Saccharomyces cerevisiae S288C: one gene and its partners. Changing the gene in region 2 together with the main gene of any one other region gives a genetic interaction. Each region holds a gene or a part of one and is shown on either strand. Other genes may lie near its edges. The genes, in order: USV1, YGR127W and YCL049C.

Region 1 (3,719 bases), on a different chromosome or scaffold from region 2:
TACCAAAGGGGTTGCTGCTTGCGAAGTTCATAGGTTCTTGGATATTTGGAGGGGTGTTGTAGGGCATCATTTCATGTAATATAAAAAAGTGGTTATATGTGATAGTTTATCTGCTAAAATCGGAAAAAGCGTCATCTTGTCAGTGAAATGAGATAAAAAGCTTCTTTCTTTTCTTTTTCTTATTATTGCAATTAACGGGGGTCCGGGTGAGCGTAAGGGCGAGATAACCATGGCGGTATAGGTGTATATGATCAAGTTTTGAAGTCAAGATGCAGGATTGTTCGTTCCGTATTCACAATCCACCGTTAGTGTTACATCGTAGTTTTTGATGCTACTGTGGGCTGTGTAAAGCAGACGCGGGAGTTTAAAATTAAGTTTTGCGGTTATTTCTCGTTGATCAACGCAAGAGGTCAGAAAGCCCTTTATGCAAGGGATTTTTTCTTGCAATTGCATCTTATCATTTTTGTAGCACTGATTATACATAGCTTGACTCATTTGAAAAATTTTATAAACTGCATTTAGTATGGAACAAAACATAAAAATAAAAAAAGATGCGCACCATAATTTGTTTGCGCATATTAAGAATTATATTAGTTGTAAGATATTTATACTCTACGGAATATTTGAAACTTAGATCAGATTGCCTCGATCAAGTCAATATGTAATCAACACTAAGCCTTTTCTTATTGGTGTTGACCGAAATATCAGACTCTGATAAAGTTTCCGACCTCTTTTTGTTATTATTATCATTGCGATCATCAGTATTCTTGAAATTTTCTCCCCCTTTGCCGCCATTCTTCGAGGAAGACATATTATTGTTTTTATTTCCATTTGGTGGTTGGCTAAATGCCTGCTGATACTGTGGTAAAATAATTGGTTTTGCTTCAGCAACTGTCGTTGACGGAGAAAACGGCGGGGAGAATGAATCAAGATGGTTATTGATATTACTAGTATTGACATTGATATTGCTTGGTCTAATATTGTATTTGTTCATAGTTGTCCGTGCTTGAAAGTCGGCAGAATCTTTATATTTGAAGGAAGTACTTGGCATGGACCTCGGAGGAAAGGACGATATGATTACCTCAGAGGCCGGATGGCTCGTTGAGGAGGGGCTCACATTCAAAGGATACTGCACATCTACTGATGGTAAATAATTGATGGTGTTATTATTACTGGGAAGAGGATACTGGTAGTAACTATCAGTGATTGGATGGGAAGGAAAATAATAGGGAGCCTGTTGATGCTGTTGTTGTTGGTGTTGTTGCTGTCGTTGGGTATTATAAATGGACCTTGGAGAGATGGGTGGGATGCTTCTCGTGCTAGTAATGAACTCCGGCGAAGAATGTATTATTTGGGGCGCTTTTTCGTTTTCTGCCATCATCGGCATGTTCCCGCTATTAATATTAGTTTTCCTGTAAGGATCACTATATGATGTAGATGATGAAGCAGAAGACGAAGAAGATGCAGAAGAAGAGGAGGATAAAGATGAAGAGGAAGGCTTACGCTGGTGCGAGCTGGTAGAATGGTGGTTTTTATGTGCATGGACCGATTCCCGATGCTGTTTCAAATTATCAACTCTACTGAAGAATTTCAAACATGCAGGACACTGGAACGGCTTTTCACCAGTGTGCTTTCTTATATGACGTGCAAGATGTTCCGCTCTAGTGAAGGACATCGTACAACCGTCATATCCGGTGCATTTGAACGTTTTCCTTCGAGCACTTTTGGACCTCTTCGGAGTTGATGCCGCTACACTATTGGTGGCAAAGTTACCATTGCTGCTCGTAAGAACGCCTGCAGTATTACGATTCGTGGTATTTTCCATTTCGTGTTTTTTTCTTATCTTATCACAGTATTATTTATGTGTTAGTAAAAAAAGCTAAGCCAGTAAGTCGCTCCAGATTTTTTCTTTACATACATGGTTAATGAAGCTGTTGCAAAATACTGCAGCCAAGAACTCCTGTCTCTTTCAAAACAAGACGAAACTTTATCTGCCGGGATGAATAAGAATTAATCAAAATTATAGGCAATAAGAGTGGATTGAGATTGTTATATACGGAAGACTGTTGAACGGTTAAGGGGGAAGCCGTGAAGGAGCAAACAAATCTTGAAAAAGAAAACATTTTCTAAAAAAAAATAGAGGGGATAAATAAGGCCCTTAGGGGGACTCAACGGCGGAGAATTCGAAAGCCAAAGGATGCTTCCCACCGCTAAGCCAGGGCGAACGGCAGCGGCGATCGAGGATGCTGGTTCTTTAAGGGCACTCGTCCACCTTCGCGATTTTTCTCTTCCCTGAGTATTTGGCAGAGGCGATCAAGGGGTGGCTCACACAACCAGTCGCAGGAGCGTCGCGCATCGGGTATTAGACCCTATTCTGTACACCACAGCCTTCCAGCCCCTTGCCCCACGCGATTGGTGTAAACAATAGATGGCAGTAATCGTTGAGACAACATAACTACCGGCCGTCCCTGACCCTTTCCCCTCCTCACGGTAGAGACAACAACCACGGGAGGAATAAAAACCGGTGCTGGGCCAGCCGATATCGTAAAAGCCTAATTACCCCAGAGCTGCTACGCGGACTTCTATTCTTCCACGCGTCAATATGCCCCCGCGCGAATTTGTGTGGGCCGACCAAATAGAAGAATTGAACGGTGTGTACGCTCAGGGCCATATGATTATAGACGTACACAATGATTAGGCCAGATCGAAATCAGAGGCTAAAGTAAGGAAACGATAGAAAAATAACAAAGTAATTACTATTATGTCTGATAAATAGAAGCGACACGTTACATATTAAAAGAGGGACTACGTAGTGCTCTCTCTATTTCTTAGTAGAAACGGCGACCGCGACAGCTTGGAGGTCATCGTGAGAAATAGATACCTTCACATCGGTAACACCAGCTTCTTCGGCAGCCTTTTTGGCGTTACCGTGCAGTTCAACGGCTGGAGCGTTTTTGTTAACGCGTACGATTTCGATGTCTTTCAATGCAGCACCACCGCCTAAGGACTTGACGCCTAAGGACTTGAAAACAGCCTCTTTGGCGGACCATGTCCCAGCGAAAGAGCTTTGCACACTAGGCTGCGCGCTGCAGTACTCTATTTCTTGCGGGGTGAAATTGCGCTCGATAAAAGTATCATTTTCAACGTTGATGCTAGTGATTAATTCAACATCTACACCGACGCCACCGTTAGAGACTTTCTCCTTGGTCATGTTTTCAATCATCTTGGCAGTTTCAATGGTGTTAGCATTGATGTAACTGTCCTTGCTTTGGATGTTTTTAGAGTTGAAAGTCAAGGAGCCTGATTTCTTATCCTTAGATACACGGGCTAATGGGTCCAAGTAAACATCCTCTTCCAATTCATCAGTGTATGGAGCATGCTCTTTACTTACGAACAACTTGTTGTAGATCATACCATTATGGAAGAATTTGTAGGCACTTTTCTCTCTGGCACTAACCTTGGCGACATACTCGTTGTATCTGTCTTCAGTGATAGCACCGTATAAGTAGTCTGGATGAACCACAATAGCTTGACCACCCTTTTGACCAAAACCGAAAGAAGTGATGGACACGGCTCTGACACCGTCGGTCTTTAAAGTCTTGGATGGGTACAAGACGTATTCAAATTGCTCCAAGATCTTATCCACGTTATCAGCGTTACGGTTACCTGGAATAATACCACTGTTTAGAATTTGCAAAGCACCATTCATCATCCATGCA
Region 2 (3,296 bases):
TGATATCTCATTTAGGATTTTGCAGGATTTCACCAGAGACTCTATTAAACAAGAAATGAAGAAACTAAGTAAATTAGACGTTCAAAATTTCATTGAGTTCATAACAAGCGGTGGTGAAGACAGCTCACCAGAATGCTTCAACCCTAGCCAAAGCACGCAGCTATTTCAACTCTTGTCCCTTGTGCTAGATTCTATCGGGCTATTTTCATTAGAAGGTGCTCTATTGGAGAACTTAACCTTATATATTGACAAACAAGTTGAGATTGCTGAAAGAAATACCGAATTGTGGAATTTGATTGATACGAAAGGTTTTCAGCATGGGTTTGCTAGCTCAACCTTTGATAACGGAACTTCTCAGAAGCGAGCCTTACCCACTTACACCATGGAATACTTGGACATTTGAGTATGCAATGAATTTGATTGTATTGTATAATACCTATATAGAAAAGGAACTAATATATATAGCGTCTACTGTGGTTACTGATAAACTAACAGGCATTTAGAATTTGAAAACATCATATACATTAGATGTGTCCAACAAGAGATACCGGAATGTTCTGAGGGGAAGAAGATGGAATTTAAAGCTAGTTTGAAATAAAATGGAAGATTGTGATTTTTACAATTTGAATTTAAACCTTTTTTCCTCCTTAGGTGAGGTTACCGAATACTTGCGCACGTCTTCATCTGAGCTATAAAGGACCCTTTCTATAAAGGTAACTCTCGTTGAATCCTTACTCACGAGTAAAACTATTTGAGAGCGAGTTCCGTAGTAATCACCATCAGGAATTGAGGCACCTAAGTCATCCCTGGGAGGCCTCCGTAAAGGTGGTACGTATATGGTATTCATGGTTACATTTGGATCTACCATCTGCAAGACATCTGGGTTTGAAATAGTGCTTGGAAGGGAAGACTTCGAGGCGAGTTGAAAGCAACTTGATATTATTTTCTCCTCATCTGATTCAATATTCTCTAAAACTAGATTTTCTAAACTATCACGTGCTACCTTTACTTTTTCCCAAGCCTGCCCTGGTATACTGGAGCTGTCATAAAATTTACCATTAGAAACAACCATGTAAGAATCAAGATCTTTCCTACAGGTAGAACTCAACACATCAAAAGTTCTTCCTAGAGAATCAATAACTTTATATTGCTTTTTGATAACGTCGCCGTAAAAAAAATTAAAATCACCTGTGGACTTCAACCCATCATAGTGACCTTCAAACTTTTTGTAATTATCCCAATCTTCAAAATCTGCTTTATGGATCGACAAAAATATAAATGGTAACAGACCACGGGATCTTGATTTCGTATTATTTTGCTCATTGTCAAGTTTTAAATTAAGAATAGTGGCTAATTTTCCTTCTTTATTTATGCCAGACCAAGTGCCAAATATTTGTTTTTCTGCTGAGGTTTTGGCCAGATCGTAGGGTGAAAGGATAAAATCATTGTTATGCCAGCATGTAGCATGTGTTTTTCTTGCCAAGAATTCGTCTCTGTTAGATATTAAGATGAGTTCATAGTCAGGATGTGCCCTTGTGGCCATTAAAATGCACATTATTTGTTCGTTAGTTTTTGGTTTTTAATACTTTAGCCACAGGTGTGTTAATAAATGCAAGCGTTTCTTTCCTTTTCTGCCTCACTTCATATACTACTATCCTACTCCACTTTCAGGGGGAGACTATTTTTTTAGCGCTTTAGGAATTGAACGAAAAAGTCGAAAGCTAGGCAGATGCCAAGAATATAATGTGAGGCAAAAAAAAAAAAAAAAAAAAAAAAAGAATGATTCTGAAGTAAACGCATTGCGAACTAAATGTTGCTATGCCACTTAATCGAAAATTCTATGAAAAAACCCCTTGATCCCCTTTTCTGATTTATGTTTTTGATATTTTTCGATCCTCTTCTTATTCTTCTCTACTGCCATGTTCAACTTGTTTGGTTCTAGAGAAGAACCTTGAGAATTTGTAGTAACCTTGGATCGTGTCGAATGCATATCTGTATGGTCGTTAATATGCTCTTTTTTAGTTGAGGATACGCGAGAGTCCTCCCTCTTCAAACTTTCAAGCGTCTTCAATTTGACCAACCCGGTTTCAGTTTCTAAACGATACTCTTCTGGAAATGCAGCATCGTGAGCTGAGTTTGTTACTGGGGCGGTAATATCCGGAAGAGCTTTCTTGTTCAAATTTAAACCATCTTCTTTTAAGGAATCAACTGTTTCTGAGTTGCCCTCTAAAGCATTGTGGGTAACCATCTTTTCTATCGAATTTGAAGTTGGCCTTTTTAAAGTACTAGAACTGTGATGAGAATGCACATCTGAATGACGGTGTTGATCATCTACATTACTATCATCTTCCAGTTGCCCCTTTCCAACAATGGTATCGTTTTTTAAAAGAGGCTGTTCTGGAGCTTCAGAATCTTTGAACCCAGTAAAGGGCTCCGGTTTGTAAGAGTCAATAGAAGAAAAGGACGATATGTCTTCATATTCATTATCGGTAGTGACAGTAACAGATGGGACAGGCATAGTCTACGTTGATACGTTGTTATGACTTTGATTTGTTAATGCGGATATAAACTAACCGTACAACTACCCGTTGTGAATTGTTGTGGTAGTATATTAATGAAAAAAGTAACGGTATTTTTTTTCTTTAGGAGAGCAATTAAGTCAAGTGAGGTATGTAGTTGCTCATCGATGGGAATTATCACTTTTCGTCTACGATAGGGGCCCTATCAAAGAAAATCGCGCAGTAAAATTCCGGAAGTGAAGACTCAAGTACAAAAAGTTTATAGTCGAGATGGTAAAAATCCTACAACGGCATCACTTATACAGATGCAGGAGCATCCTGCTTTTATTTAGTACTGGTGTAAATTACTTGCAATACGCCGGCAATAAAAGAAATTAAATAAATATACGTGTACGCTCTCATGCGCTAACAAGTGTGTAACCTAGTAATTCTTTGAATCTGGTGTCCTTGATACACATGACCATTAATGCAACCTCCACGTACAATGCTAGATTGTCTTCTTTCAATTTGTTCAACGAGCTAGAGTCTATAACCCATAATACGGAATCAGTTTCAGTTTCGATGGTGAGCTTTTGTTCTCTAGGCATAGCATTCCCTGGCGCAATGATTTTTCCGAAGCATGTGCCATTTGAAAAAATCTCGTACAAGGTTCCTTGTGGTAGTTCATATGTTGCCTTCAACATACCTGTTTCCACAAGGAAAAAAATGTTGTCTGCATGTAGTAAATGTGATTGACTTGCTAATCTGCGCCTGGTGAAGTAGGGGCAGAGTTGTGCC
Region 3 (3,441 bases), on a different chromosome or scaffold from region 2:
ACGCCGTAATAACTACTTTCGACAGACCACTTATGACAGTATTTCAGGCCGCTCTTATAAAATGACATGTTAACAAACAGTTCTGATTATTCGCCTTTTGACAGGACGATAATGTAAATAGTTGTGGTAGTATCATTCAGGTATGTAACTGTTTACTTTGTATCGCTTGAAAAAAATAAGCATTTCAGAGCCTTCTTTGGAGCTCAAGTGGATTGAGGCCACAGCAAGACCGGCCAGTTTGAATGCTCAACTCTTCAAAAGAAATTCCTCAAATATGTCCAGTTTCATGTACTGTCCGGTGTGATTTATTATTTTTTATTTACTTTGTAGTTCTTAAAGCTAAGATTTTTTTCTTTGATAAATTCTTGTTTTCATATCCTAAAATTAAAGGGAAAATAAACAATACATAACAAAACATATAAAAACCAACACAATAAAAAAAAGGATCAAATACTCATTAAAGTAACTTACACGGGGGCTAAAAACGGAGTTTGATGAATATTCACAAGATAAAAATCATATGTATGTTTCTGATATATCGATATACAATCAAACACTTTCAAGAATTTGTTTGTAGACTTTTTGCTAGAGACCTCATCAAAGTGCTACCAACTAAGATCAACTTATACTTCTTTTAGAGAAAATTTTTTTCAATGTACTCCAAAGAGATTTAGATCCTGTCTCTTCCTCTTCCTCTTCCTCGAAAGTCAAAGAAAAATCAGAGTCTCCCTGCTTATTCAGGCGGAGAGGCTCTAGGGTAGTTGCGTTTCTCTCATTGGGACACTGAACCTCATTTTCCAACATTTTGGTCATGTAAGAGGCGACAGGCTCATCGCAGGTGGGTGCATCAACATGGTAGTACCTGGACCAAGCGCTACATTGAGTCCCTCCTGGATAAACACCGCTACAATATTGTCTTTGGACGTTTGCCCAAACCATATCTTTTGAATACCAAAGCTGGACCACATTGTATGGCCTAATCATTGGTGCTACCATAATACTGGATTGGGAAACAGTCTGGTTAATTTTTTTCAACCAATTTTTCTTATCTAGCAATGATTTAATAAACCTGAAATCTAAATTGTCTTCGTTAGCGTCTGTGTCATAATCTACAATTGAGTACTGTGACGTCCAATTATATGGCACCGAGATGGGGAATCTGTCCGGTGTTTCGTCGCTGTTATCCTTCTCCTCCCTCCAAATGCAGTCAGAGGCAGGTGCCCATTCGGTTCGCCAGTCTCCGTTATTTACTACTTGGTACTGTTCCCAATCGTAATACGTTTCCTCTGGGTTGAAGATACTTGCTCTGCTCTTGACATTGCCCATAGCCACACCACGAGAAACATCGTGGAAGATTACGGAGCTGTTTACGATAGCAGGAGCAATGGATTTGACGAATGACACTTGATAAAAGTCTTTGGTCGAAAATACAGTATCAACGCCGTCGTGGGACTCGACCCCTGGTAGAAGAAGCAGAGCATCTAGATCAACGGTAGATGCTGCAGAGGTCAAAGCCACAAAGAGGGAAGATGCAGTTACGAGGTATTTACTAAACATTGGTTCGAAGTGATTACAGATTTTTCTCTCTTGAACCCTGGAATTGCAATAGCTTGGTTCCTATTGGGACCGGACCCTCTTGCGTAAAGTATATATTTAGAAGCAGCTATTTAAATCTGAATGCAAGACGAAAAAAAGCTCGTTTATAGGAGAAAAATACCAAAAAAAGGAAAACCATACACATTCGGGTATCCCAGCTTTGCTTGCAAAATCAATCGATGAGCAAGACAAACAGGGCCAGCTGATGCATATGTTTTGTGTTGCTTTCCTACGATCAGCTAATGCGAGTGTTATAAATATTCCCCTAGTTTTCTTCTCCTCCTTTATGTAACAATAACTTGTGGACTTCCCCAACATAAGACTAAAAGCAAAGGGATAACAAGGGATTTATCTTATTCCATCCCTTTGCCTAGCGCACTGTTACGCAGCTGATCTTATCAACAAGTGTGGTTCTTGCCTCTAAGATTTACATTGCCTTTTCCCAAAGGGAAGGTGGGACAAAACTCATTTTCCCTAAGGGGAAACGTAAGATACCCTTTAGGGAAGATAAGGGAAGTTAGTAGATTGACGACGTAAATCTGTGATGAGATGAAAAAAAAAGATTAGCATCTATATAAGAAAGTACATAACCTCCATTTAAGTTGAAAAAAATTTGTATGTAATGTCTTTTCTTCCTCTTTTCTTTATTTCATTCTCACCGCTAAATCGATAACGGCTAAAACAATTAAAGCTCCCTTTTCAAACCTTATACTTCCGTTAAATAATGCAAATCAAAAACATTGTCGCTGTTCTAGCTACAGTCACTGCTATCAACGCCCAAGTTGGCATTGAACCTAACGCCACTACTCCAAATGCTACGCAGCCAAATGCTACGCAGCCAAATACTACTCTTCCTACCGCTTCGGTGACTACGACAGTTTCGATTGGCGAAGCCGTAGTTAATACCATGGCGGCGGGTGCCTTTGGAGCAGCAATCGCTGCCGGTGTTGCCTTCTTATTCTAGGAACATTTTTATTTCCTTTATTTTTTTCTTTCTTTCTAATTCCATAACCGTTGTTCAAAATTGGGGAGCTTTTTAACTTTCGTTCCATTAAGCTTTTTCTTTGTTCTTTACGTTTGATTCTATTTCAACCATAATTTATTTTTTCGTTATTTAATAATTACTAATATTTAATACTAGATGTATATACGTTGTGTGTATGCGCTACTATAGTATAGCTTAACTGTTTTATTATACCCTTTTTTTCTCTCTTTACTGTACAGAAGATGCGTCACTAATTCAAAAAAAAAAAAAAAAAAAAAAATATAAAAAAGAAAGATTTTGGAGAAGCTATATCCTTTTGTGACATACAATAGAGAAACTTGTTCTGTTGGTAAGATATCTCATCTGAAATACAACAAGGAAAACCAAAAGCCATTTTTTCATTACTTGATCGACTTATGAACCGTATTACTAGGAAAAGTTGTTTATTCGCGATTATATTTGCATCATTATTTGTGACACATGCATTGGGTGCCGCTATTGATCCGCCAAGGCGACCACATAATGTGAAGCCTTTTCATAACGGTAATCTCGAACTTCAAAGAAGAGCAAATGAACCGTTTTTTGAAATAGATGTCAAGAGTCTGAACACAAACTCACCGATATCAGAGTTGTGTAAAAAAGATTTGCACGTCATTGAATCGTCTCATGATCTTTTTCATTTACAAAACCAATGTGAATTCATCTTGGGGTCATTAAAAGTCACAAACTATGATTCTAACATTTTGGATTTGAACAGCTTGAGGGCCATTGGTGGTGACCTGATTATTCAGGATTCACCTGAACTGATCAGAATCCAAGCCGGGAACTTGAATAAAATCGAAGGGCTCTTCCAATTACAG

What was found.
Region 1: mutations in YGR127W (region 2) and USV1 together harm fitness more than expected from each alone (negative genetic interaction), as found in Saccharomyces cerevisiae (one large-scale study listed by BioGRID).
Region 3: mutations in YGR127W (region 2) and YCL049C together harm fitness more than expected from each alone (negative genetic interaction), as found in Saccharomyces cerevisiae (one large-scale study listed by BioGRID).

Annotation. Positions count from the first base shown.
Region 1 is NC_001148.4:113,418-117,136, reverse strand, and holds USV1 (Usv1p), read right to left. Parts: upstream 1,826-3,719; coding exon 650-1,825; downstream 1-649. Other genes in the region: YPL229W (uncharacterized protein), read right to left, coding at 1-70; trifunctional fatty acid synthase subunit FAS2, read right to left, coding at 2,822-3,719. UniProt on the Saccharomyces cerevisiae protein: Transcription factor that participates in the transcriptional activation of glucose-repressed genes during exponential growth in non-fermentable carbon conditions. Also involved in salt-stress response.
Region 2 is NC_001139.9:745,057-748,352, reverse strand, and holds YGR127W (uncharacterized protein), read right to left. Parts: upstream 1,556-3,296; coding exon 617-1,555; downstream 1-616. Other genes in the region: UTP8 (Utp8p), read left to right, coding at 1-403; YGR126W (uncharacterized protein), read right to left, coding at 1,826-2,518; VSB1 (Vsb1p), read right to left, coding at 2,918-3,296.
Region 3 is NC_001135.5:39,168-42,608, forward strand, and holds YCL049C (uncharacterized protein), read right to left. Parts: upstream 1,558-3,441; coding exon 619-1,557; downstream 1-618. Other genes in the region: YCL048W-A (uncharacterized protein), read left to right, coding at 2,321-2,560; SPS22 (Sps22p), read left to right, coding at 2,998-3,441.